Macaca mulatta: one gene and its partners. The protein of the gene in region 3 interacts with the protein of the main gene of each other region in a biochemical or structural test. Links are inferred from orthologs where the notes say so. Each region holds a gene or a part of one and is shown on either strand. Other genes may lie near its edges.

The links.
Region 1: the proteins of RUFY1 (region 3) and RAB4A form a complex in vitro, tested with the Homo sapiens proteins (2 studies listed by BioGRID). The link is inferred for Macaca mulatta from reciprocal best matches to the Homo sapiens genes RUFY1 and RAB4A.
Region 2: the proteins of RUFY1 (region 3) and RAB14 form a complex in vitro, tested with the Homo sapiens proteins (2 studies listed by BioGRID). The link is inferred for Macaca mulatta from reciprocal best matches to the Homo sapiens genes RUFY1 and RAB14.

The regions. Positions count from the first base shown.
Region 1 is NC_133406.1:19,742,818-19,746,681, forward strand, and holds the end of RAB4A (ras-related protein Rab-4A), read right to left. Parts: intron 3,214-3,864; coding exon 3,098-3,213; 3' UTR 3,077-3,097; intron 2,255-3,076; 3' UTR 523-2,254; downstream 1-522. UniProt on the Homo sapiens protein: The small GTPases Rab are key regulators of intracellular membrane trafficking, from the formation of transport vesicles to their fusion with membranes.
Region 2 is NC_133420.1:37,020,793-37,023,742, reverse strand, and holds the end of RAB14 (ras-related protein Rab-14), read right to left. Parts: intron 2,801-2,950; coding exon 2,623-2,800; 3' UTR 506-2,622; downstream 1-505.
Region 3 is NC_133411.1:188,502,420-188,506,803, reverse strand, and holds the start of RUFY1 (RUN and FYVE domain-containing protein 1), read right to left. Parts: upstream 2,901-4,384; 5' UTR 2,887-2,900; coding exon 2,589-2,886; intron 1-2,588. UniProt on the Homo sapiens protein: Activating adapter involved in cargo sorting from early/recycling endosomes. Regulates retrieval of proteins from endosomes to the trans-Golgi network through interaction with the dynein-dynactin complex.

The DNA of each region.
Region 1 (3,864 bases), on a different chromosome or scaffold from region 3:
TGGCACCACAAAACATTAAAAATTCACGGGTTTTTTTAAAGCACCTCTAATTTGCCTCTCCAAAAACATAAAAAGATGACAGAAAATAAGGAAACATCATCTGCTGTGTCACAGTACAAATTACAGATCATTTAGGTTTCTAATTTTAGCATCAGATTCTTTAAATACTATTATTGATCTGCTAGGAATCAATGTTCTTGAATTCAGCAAGTCTTATACAAGCCACAAGTAATGTTTTCAACAAAACCATTACACATTCCCAAATTGTGATGTTCTCATTTTTACTTAAATGCTGGACTGTAAAAGAATAAATTACGATCTCCAGTTTAAATGGTCTTTATAATCTTTTTCTAGGAAGACTGAATAATTACTTTCCTAGAAATCTAAATTAAGAGCTTCCTGAAAACTTAATGAGTTACGGGAAATAGAAACATAACATTTATTACTAGCCTGAACAATACCGAATTATCTCCCCTCCTCATTCTCCCTAAAGGCAAAGCCTGATTAAGAACCACCATGGTTTGGTTCTCCAGCAACTTTTATTGGTCAAAGGATGCAGAAGGATATATGGTGTCTGTAGGTTAATTAACAGGATCGTTTATAAAACAACTTTACATTTATCTTATTTTTAAAATTCTTGCTTTTGAATAAGCTAATGTGTTAGAATAGACATGCTCCTATCCCATGCAAAAAGCTGTTCAAAAATGAGCAGCTTGCAAATCTATCATAAATGAGACATTGAATAAAACATTCTTACAGTGAGGTCTAAGAAGTAGTTCAGTCTAAGAATTTGCTTCAGATACTTTTTGAAATAAAATATTCAAGGCATAAAAAAAGCAAAACTCAAAATATCTAAAACAGATACATACTGGTATTTTTATCCTAGTTACTTCCCAGAGTTTTTGTGTGTCTCTGTGCTCTGCTGATTAAAATAAACAACAAAAGCAGTAGGCATCTTCTAACTAAAAGTTAATTTACTAGTCTTCAACTAAAAAGTCACAGTGGAAGAACATATATAAGGTGAAGAAAGCTTTTTAACCTTTCAGACTTAAATAATACTGTATTTCAACTTTAAAGAAAGGTTCCACCATATATTTTTTGCACTGACATTTTAAAATATAAGAACAAGTCTTTGTAATACAATATATACTTCAATATACCCAATATACCTTATATGAATTAAAAACATGTCAACTTGATAACTGTAGTAAGGCATTTAAGTATTCAGCAGAAGCCATAAAGAAATTTCTTAATGAGTGGTGTCCTTTTCATATTAACTGGATTTAGCAGGTTTCCTTAAAATGAACAGGAAACAAAAGATATGAAAAACAGGCAGTGATGCCATTCTACTGAATTCCAGAAAAAGCACAGTACAAACAATGTGTTTTCTAGCAGGGAGACCAGACAGACCAGCAAACTGGAAATGGATGAGCGGCCCTAGCTTGCATGGTCTATTGTATTTTATCCACCGCTGAGAGAAGTGTTAGTAGCCCGGTAGGTTTGCGTAAAGGTACCAGAATCCTTAGTGCTAGTCTCATAGCCTAAAACAGAGCAGGTACTCCAGATATACTTCCTGAACTGACCTGGATGAAGAGGCTTTAAAATCAACAGAGCTGAACAGTATAAAGTTCACGGAAAAACTCCATTTTTCATTTTATTTTTTTTGGTATGTTAGTGAATGTCTACTGATCTAGTATTTCAAGTGTGGATCACGTAAACACCATGTAGAATGTAGTAAACAGAATTAAATAAGAAACACACTGGCTATCAATGCCAGAGTCTTTGAATATCAGGTCATAAATATAACCAATTGTGCAATATAACCAACATGATGAGAAGAGCACACCTCACAACTGACAATTTTAGTTCATATGATTAAAAAAAATAAAATCTGAAACTGCATTTAGTGCCACATTCTATCATATCATACATCAGATTCCATGCTGCGGAGCCGCACTGGGCTACAGGACATACAGTACATAGCATGTTTATAGCATGTTTATAGCATGTTTTAAACCGAAAGTGAAAGGGAAAATATGAAACAGAAAATTTTTACATACACATCTAACGGTGTTGTCCATTTAATTCGATTTATATGATTTGCTGTGCCACTTTGACCAGCTTGCAGAACACCCCAAATTCTCTTTTCCCCATAAAGATCTACTTCCATATAGAGTAGAAAAGGATGGTGGTAAAAAAACTTCAGGTTCTTCAGGTTCCAACGATTGTGTCCCAAATGCCACTGTATGAACACCTAAAAAATAATAAGAACAATGTCAAAATCTGCACAATTATAAATGCAAAAGTAAATACAGCTTAAAGCCTAAAAGAGAATTTGTGAATATCTCGTCTTTCAATACTTGTCTGTGTCTACTACATGATGTCGACTATAAATAAAACGTCCACTGTGGTAAATGGGAAAAAAGAAGAAGCTTTAAAAAGTTAAAGGGAGACATTTGTCAATTTCATAAATGAGTCTCCTGTTTTAGCAAAAGGCACATTCCTTTAGACCTCACTCAATCCAGGAAAGGCTCCTCACTGACATAAGGAATCAGGATATCTCACCCTCTCCCGTCAACCACCACCTGCCCTTCCTTTCTTTCTGAACAAGAACATGAGAATTTCCTATAGGGTGTAAATTCTTTCAGTTAGAACATCCAACTTTAACTTATGGGATAGTCTCCTTCTCTTTTTTTTTTTTTTTTTCCTGAGACTGTCTCACTTTATCACCTAGGCTGGAGTGCAGTGGTGCGATCTTGGCTTACTGCAACCTCTGCCTCCCAGGCTCAAGCAATTCTCCTAAGTTTCATGAGTAGCTGGGACTACAGGTGCATGCCACTATGCCTGGCTAATTTTTTGTATTTTGTAGAGATGGTGTTTCACCATGATGCCTAGGCTGGTCTCAAACTCCTGAACTAAAGCGACTGGCCCACCTCAGCCTCCCACAGTGCTGGAATTAGAGCCACTGGACCTGGCTGGGATCCTCTATTTTTCATACTGCAGCTTCCCAAAGCTTTCACAGGCCTCTGCACTTCAGCTTGTCAGGAACTCAGGGCAGTGAGGTGTCCGAACCCACCTGTGCGCTCTCCCATGGCTCCTAACAACCACACTCCTGAGCATTCGGGGCCTGTGCGCGCCGGGGTGACCTCAGCTGTCTCAAGGCAGCATCTCCGTACTGAATACCCGAGCCCATTCTTTCTGGGTCCAGCTCACCTAAGGACCAAGCAAGTCTTCTTTAAAAAAAAGTTTTATGTTTCTGAGATCCCAAAAATAGATTAAAAAAAAAAAAAAAAAAAAGCAAAGTACGGAACCCTGTGTATATATCCCACCACTCTGAATAAAGAGGAAAAAACAATTTACATGTTTGCTTGCACCGGCACAAAACGTCTCTAGCACGATACATAAGGAACGGCTGATTCGGAGGAGTTCTAGATGGCCGGGGACGGGAGGGGGTGGTAACAGCGGGACTTTCCACTGCATACTCTTTTATACTTCTTGAATTTCAAATTATGTGAATATATTATTTATATAAAATAATTTAAAATTAAATTACAAAGATACAATTTTTCACTTATCGGATGGGCCAAAAGTCCAAGTATGATGATACTACACGCTGTGGACATGGCTTTAGTGAAATAAGCCCATCACTAGGAGAAAATGTGACCACCTCTACACCAAGATCCCAAATGCTTATGTTCTCTGACCCAGCAATTCCACTTCTGCGTATCTGTCTGACACACAGACTCATGCACACGAAAAAAAAAAAAATATATATATATATATAAAAGTATTTACTGTAACATTACTTATAATAGCAAAATACTGGCAACAACCCAGATGTCCAAAGTAGACTGGCTACATAAA
Region 2 (2,950 bases), on a different chromosome or scaffold from region 3:
TCTATTTAAGTGTAAATAGTACTAAGCACCAATTACTAATCTGAGGGCCTCCTCACAGGTCCAAGGGCAATGAGTAACCTCGAGAAGCAGGTGACTGCACAAGCAGTAAGCTATGGATTAAAAATTAAAAGGATTTCACATTCTTTCCAAAGTGTACTGCCCAGTGTCTGGCACACACATGTTACAATATGACAGTCTGCTCTATTTGTGAGCACCCGAGTTTATTACAGGGGATTACACATGCGTATGATAGAATCTGGCTCCCAGTACAGTCAAGGGAGAACAGCATCAGCCAGCAAATGTGCTGATCTTACACTGAAAATGGTTGACTGAAAACATTTCAAGGGTGATGCAAACACAAGAATAAAACTGTGGCTCTATTAGTGATGTGGTTTTATATGCTACATATGTAGACCTCTCTTTATACAACAAATACAGACAGTGCTGCAATAAAAACTGATGACACATCAACTTGTTCACCTGAAGAAAATAAACCCTATTATAGTTCAGAAAATAATGCAACCAACTTTAATCTAGATACAGGTACTTTATTTACAAATATTTAGATTAATAGCATTTTGTTACATCAAATGAAGAGTACAGCAGTCTGAATAAATCCTTCGGTCACAAAAACAATAAAACCCACTGTAACTAACTTTGGGAGTCAGGGTATTGCACCTCAACAAGCCGCAGTCTTTCGTTTGTGATTGCCACCTTATATCCCAATGGGTGGTTTGTTTGTTTTGTTTTTGTAAATATACACACACACCAGCAGGTCATGGTCCCTGGGTGAATCCCTTGTGATGCAACAGTGTAAGCAAAATGGATCACTGTAGTCTTTAACAGAACATACCAATCTACTCCAGAAATCCTATTTTTTAAAAAGTTAAAGACAAAAATAAAAATGAATCCACAAATTAACCAAAGCCTATTTTCTGCACATTCCAGTTTTGGCTTTTATTTAACATTGACTATACAATACTCTGGTACTACCACATGTTTACAACCCAAAAAGATGTACTTTTATGTTAGTGTCTGTAAAGAGGGATTTAAAATGTGTATTTTAAACACAGCAGTTGAGCTGAGTGCATTTTCTATAGTGCGCTGAGGTGTTACCTATTCTACTTCAAATAAACTCTCAATTCCCAGCCACTGAATCAAACACAGTAAGAAAAATCAACAGAAATGAAGAACTTAAACATGTTTGTTGTACAAAGGAATAAGATTGTTTCTCTTGCTATACAGTATTAATTCAGTGGCCAAACCACCTAGTGCAAAGTAATAACTTACTTTGTATCAGCACAAGCACTGAAACACCTTTAGAAACACTTTCCCTTTTATGAAACAATTTATGCCAACATGACATAAAACAGCCCCTCATACTATGAACACAGGGATATCTTATTTCACTGTAGTGTTAAAAATGCACAATTTAAAATCCCTTAACAGCAGACCTGTGGTTCTGACTGTCCAGTTCAGAATCTGACCATTCCAAGAAGATAAAGGTATAAAAGCTTAAAATGTGCAATAATAAACCCAGCCTTTTTTCTTTTCCTATACAGTAAGGCAAGAATGCAGCCTGTAATGCAAAAACGTTTACAAAAAGAGAAAAGCAGGTTAGCACATTGTCGATTGCACAAGAACAGTTAAGAAAATCAGCAGGTAAGCAACAGTGCAAAGATGGAACAGAATCTGCTAGTGTTAATCCTCTGATGCTAGGAGCTTTTTCCAGCATAATGTCCCCAAACACTGCCAGCACCAAGGGGTGGAGCCAGTACTACTTGTGAACTGCAGTGTGTCTATTTCTTTGTGTGAAATGGAAGGGAGTAACATGGTCACATATAGGTCATACTGTACAAACTGGTATTTTATACTGTTCCAATGCCAGTAATCAATTTATTTTCTTCATTAAAATAATATACACAGAATGTATTGTTAGTTCGATTCCTTCAAATTTTATACATATTTACTTTCTGTTAAAGAGAAAAGGATAAAATGGTATAAAAAAAGATAAAGCTATTAATTAAGCACGAGAGATAAGATAAATGGATATTTTCCCTGTGCGAGGCTAAGAGAGAAGCAAACCTCGTCAAGAAAAATGCCACCCACACAACAGGAAATTTATCCAAAACAAAACAAAAGCAGTTATAGAACCCCTTCTCTACCATCAGAAGTCATTTCACAGCAATAAACTTATTGGTTACAACAGACATACTTGAACAGTTAAGGATGGGTAGAAAGGCTTAAGATATCATCAAATTAAACCGTACAGTGAGACAAAGCCTTGCCAAAGAGGGAGGGTAAAAAATCATGAAGTCCAGCATCAGTGCTCAGTTTAAATCATATATTGGTGACATACTTATCACGAGGACAAGGGGGAAAAAAAGTCTAGATTTACCATGCAGGAGAGATTTATTACTCTACTTGCCTTTGATAACCTGATTACATCTAGTTGTTTAGCAGTTTAGTATTGTGTTAAACTGTTTTTACAACAGATTTTTGTTTTTTCTTTTTTTTTAATTAAACCCAGTAAGATGTACAGAAGACAATGAGGCAGTAAAAAGTACTGCTTTCAACAGACAGAGGTGAAAGGTCAAATGAGGGGCCACGGCAAAGAGGTCACTAGCAGCCACAGCCTTCTCTCTGGGGTTGGGGTTCACTGGTTAGCCGGCCTCCCTGCGGGGCTGAAGGTTTGTGTTGTACACCAGACTCAGCAGCATTCAGATCCAAGCTTCCATCCTGAATGTTCTGATATATTTTCTTGGCAGCCTCAAGGAAGGCATCTTCTACATTCTCTCCCCTAAGAGGCAATTGATAACTTTATTGGAGAACCACAGTTTTCTACAAAAGACAAGACATTATATACTGACCTTTTGTTAATCTTTAGTTAACTGCCATGATGTCTTCAACTTAACCATTGTCATCTAGTAAAAGATTACCAGAACACTGA
Region 3 (4,384 bases):
GTTGGCTATTGTTTATATCACTTCCATAGATGGAAAACAGGTATTTTTCAAATATGCATTTGTTCAGCAAACACTTACTATTCTGTACCAGGTACTGACACATTTATCTTTTTGTTTCCTTGATTCTGCATTAAAGGAAAGAAATTCTGGCTGGGCGCGGTGGCTTATGCCTGTAATCCCAGCACTTTGGGAGGCCGAGACGGATGGATCACGAGGTCAGGAGATCGAGACCATCCTGGCTAACACGGTGAAACCCCGTCTCTACTAAAATACAAAAAAAATTAGCTGGGCGCAGTGGTGGGCGCCTGTAGTCCCAGCTACTCGGGAGGCTGAGGCAGGAGAATGGCGTGAACCTGGGAGGTGGAGCTTACAGTGAGCCGAGATCGCGCCACTGCACTCCAGCCTGGGCGACAGAGCGAGACTCCGTCTCAAAAAAAAAAAAAAAGGAAAGAAATTCTATCAGGGAAGAACTAACATTTATTATTTGCTTACTCCTGCCACGAAATATCTAAGAGGCCTCCAGGGGATGCCATGCCTTGACTTTCAGTATTGACTGTCAATGAGTATGCAATTCAGCATCCACTGATGTGTGGAAATCTCCGGAAAAGGTGTCAAGCTAGAGGGAAGTAGATTTCCGGGCTGCACAGGCTCGCATCACCCTCTAATACTACTTTCCACTGCCAGGATCTCAAAACCAGTCAGCCTTTCAACTTTACTCATTAATCATTCTTTTTTTTTTTTTTTTTTTGAGACCGAGTCTGGCTCTGTGGCCCAGGCTGGAGTGCAGTGGCGCGATCTCAGCTCACTGCAAGCTCCAGCTCCCGGGTTCACGCCATTCTCCTGCCTCAGCCTCCTGAGTAGCTGGGGCTACAGGCGCCTGCCACCACGCCCGGCTAATTTTTTGTATTTTTAGTAGAGATGGGGTTTCACCTTGTTCGCCAGGATGGTCTCGATCTCCCGACCTCATGATCCGCCCGTCTCGGCCTCCCAAAGTGCTGGGATTACAGGCTTGAGCCACCGCGCCCGGCCTATTAATCATTCTTGACCATTGCAAATCTCACAATTCACTACCTGGGGTCAGTGCGTCTACAGCAAAGGTACCAGTGGATGGGGAGGAATCAGGAGGCCTTAAGGGTGTGCTATGATGCTCCTTGGAAGGCACCACCACCTTTCCTCAGCTCTGTCCCAGCATTTTCTATGAAGTTGGCGATGTTCTATGCTGTGCTCTCTCATACAGTAGCCACTGGCTACACACAGGCTACTGAGCACTTAAAACGTGGCCGCTGTAATCGAGGAACTCACTTTTGTTTTTGTTTTTTTTTGAGACGGAGTCTCGCTCTGTCACGCAGGCTGGAGTGCAGTGGCGCGATCTCGGCTCACTGCAACCTCCGCCTCCCGGGTTCAAGCGATTCTCCTGCCTCAGCCTCCTGAGTAACTGCGACTACAGGTGCATGCCACCTCGCCCAGCCAATTTTTTGTATTTTTAGTAGAGACGGGGTTTCACCGTGTTGGCCAAGATGGTCTCGATCTCTTCACCTCGTGATCCGCCCGCCTCGGCCTCCCAAAGTGCTAGGATTACAGGCGTGAACCACCGCTCCCGGCCGAGGAACTCATTTTTAATTCAATTTAAAAGTACTCAATTTCAATTTGATTCAGTTAGAAATTGAGGAATTCGGCTGCGGGCGGTGGCTCAAGCCTGTAGTCCCAGCATTTTGGGAGGCCGAGGCAGGTGTATCACGAAGTCAGGAGTTCAAGACCAGCCTTGCCAAGGTGGTGAAACCCCGTTTCTACCAAAAATACGGGGCCGGGAGGTGGCTCACGCCGAGCATGGTGGTGGGCGCCTGTAGTCCCAGCTACTCGGGAGGCTGAGGCGGGAGCACAGCTTGAACCCAGGAGGCAGGGGTTGCAGTGAGCCGAGATCACACCACTGCACTCCAGCCTGGGCGACAGAGCAAGACTCGGTCTCAAAAAATAAATAAAAACAAAAAAGAAAAACACACACAAACATACGCGTGCTGCTGTATTGGATAGCACAGCTCTGGATGTCTGGCGTTGGAGGGCTAAGTTAAAATCTTACTATCACTGATATGCTGGCACTTTATTCATTACAAGGGCTGAAAAGTCTTTCAGAGATCATCCGGTGACTTTAAAATCCCCATCTCACAGGCAGGGGTGAGCGGAGGCGCCGCTGGTCCGCTGCGCGCAGGGCCCACGCCCTCCCGACACCCGCCAGCGCTCCACTCCCGCACTGAGCGGCTGAAAAGCAGAACCTTGCTGGCTCCGTGCCGTGGGTGGAGTTACTACAGAGTTTCGAAGCCCGGACGCGCACACGTCCTTCACCTAGTTAGTGGGAAAGCGCAGAGGCGCGGGAGCGGGAGCGCGCTCAGGCACGCGGGGCCGCGGGGGGCGGTCTCGGCTGGGCCGCCGGAGTAGAGACCCACGCGCAGCCAGGCGCCGTCCGCCGGCCAACAGCTCGCGTAACCTCCCCGACCGGCCGGCGCCCTCCCAGCCCGGCCCCCACCGCGCCCGCGCCAGCGGCCAGCGGGGACACGCGGGTCCGCCGCGGGACAGACCCGGCCCGAGCCTACCTGCGCGCGCCGTGCCGTCCCCGCTGTCCCCGCCGCCCAGCCCCGCGGCCGCGCGCAGCGCGCTCCCGCAGCTCGCCGACAGGTTCCCGGTGGCCCTGCGTGCCAGGGTCAGGATGGGCGCCGACCAGCCCTCCGCCGCCCGCGGCCTCGTTGCGCTCCGCAGGTCGCCCGGGCTGGGCAGCTGGCTTCGGTCCACGATCTCAAACTCTTCTCCCGGCTCCAGCTCTGACCCAGGCCCCGGCCCCAGCCCCGGCTCCAGCTCCCGCCCAGCAGTGCAGCCGCCTTCCCTGTCGGCCATCTTGACCGTGTCACGTGACCCAGCGGGGTGGGCGCGGCCGGGCGCCGCCTTTCCCTTCGGTAGGCGAGATTTTTCTTCCTTTTCACCGCCCGCCTCGCCTTCCTGCAGCTTCGAAAGGTTCGGGAAGGTCCAATAACATAAAAACTGCGTATTCCCTGCCGCCGGCAGGACGTGTTCGCGGGGAAGTTCCTCTTGAACTTTCTCCCAGGACCGTTGTGCCCCCTGCGGCGCTTCGCGGGGTCCCGTGGCCGTCGTTTTCTTTGTGACACCATTTCCTCTTTTAAATTTTCATTTCATGTTCTGTGTTTTCCACTTCGTCATTTTTCTGCAGCACTCATCAGAACAAGCCCCGAAAGGGCAACTAAGGAAACGCACAGGCGAGGCAGGAAAGCGGGATTTTTTTTTTTTTAAATAAATGTGACGGCTTGGCAAGAAAGAGTGCACGATAGTGGACCGGAAATCAGAGCTGGCTTCTCCTATTAGTTAAGTGGGATAACAAAAAGCTGACCTCATTATTAACTAAGTTTGCAGTAAGGACCACATGGCAGATGTCAACGATTGTGACTACTATCTCTAGTATCCAACTATGTGGCCCGGCTAAGTCACTATACACTCAGTCTGTTTCCTCACTTGGAAAAGAAGGGGATTTTACTAAATACAAAGGAAAATTTTGACCAGCTTGGCCAACAGGAGGAAACCCCATCTCTACTAAAATACCAAAAAAAAAAAAAAAGGCCGGACGTTGTGGCGGGGCAGCTGCACTCCTAGCTCCCTGGGGGGCTGAGAATGGGAGGATCGCTTGAGCCCAGGAGGTCGAGCCCATAGTGAGCGGAGATCCTGGCCGCTACACTCCAGGCTGGGCGACAAAGTGAGACCCTGTCTCAAAAAAAACACTAAAATTTCACTAGCACTGAACACTTTGCAAAGTGAGGCAACATGAGCCACACCAAACCAGCAGAACTGTTTTGATTGCCAGAATGTTTAAAAATCTTAAAAGTTGTTGCCGATATGTAGAAATCAAAAGATTTCACATAAGAATATGGAGTTTAGCTTTCTCTGGAATCACTGGAAGGTTTGGTAAGTCATGGTATATTCCCTGATGGCAACAAATTTGGGAATGAACTGTGCTGCCCCTTTAGAAGCCCACCTGCTCCCTGGACCTGTCTTGGTCCAGCCCAGTTCACTAGGTTGCATGGTATGTCTGTTCCCTGAAAGACCAGTTCTCAGTGAAGAGATACCACTTCATCTAGGAGTGTTTTGGGAATTTGTGGAATGGCACAATCTCAGCTCACTGCAACTTCTGCCTCCCAGTTCAAGCGATTCTCCAGCCTCAGCCCGTAAGCTGGGACTACAGTCATCTGCCGCCACACTCGGAATTTTTGTATTTTTAGTAGAGACAGGGTTTTGCCATGTTGACCAGGCTGGTCTCAAACTCCTAGCCTCAAGTGATCCGCCCACCTCAGCCTCCCAAAGTGCTAGGATTGCAGGTGTCAGCCAC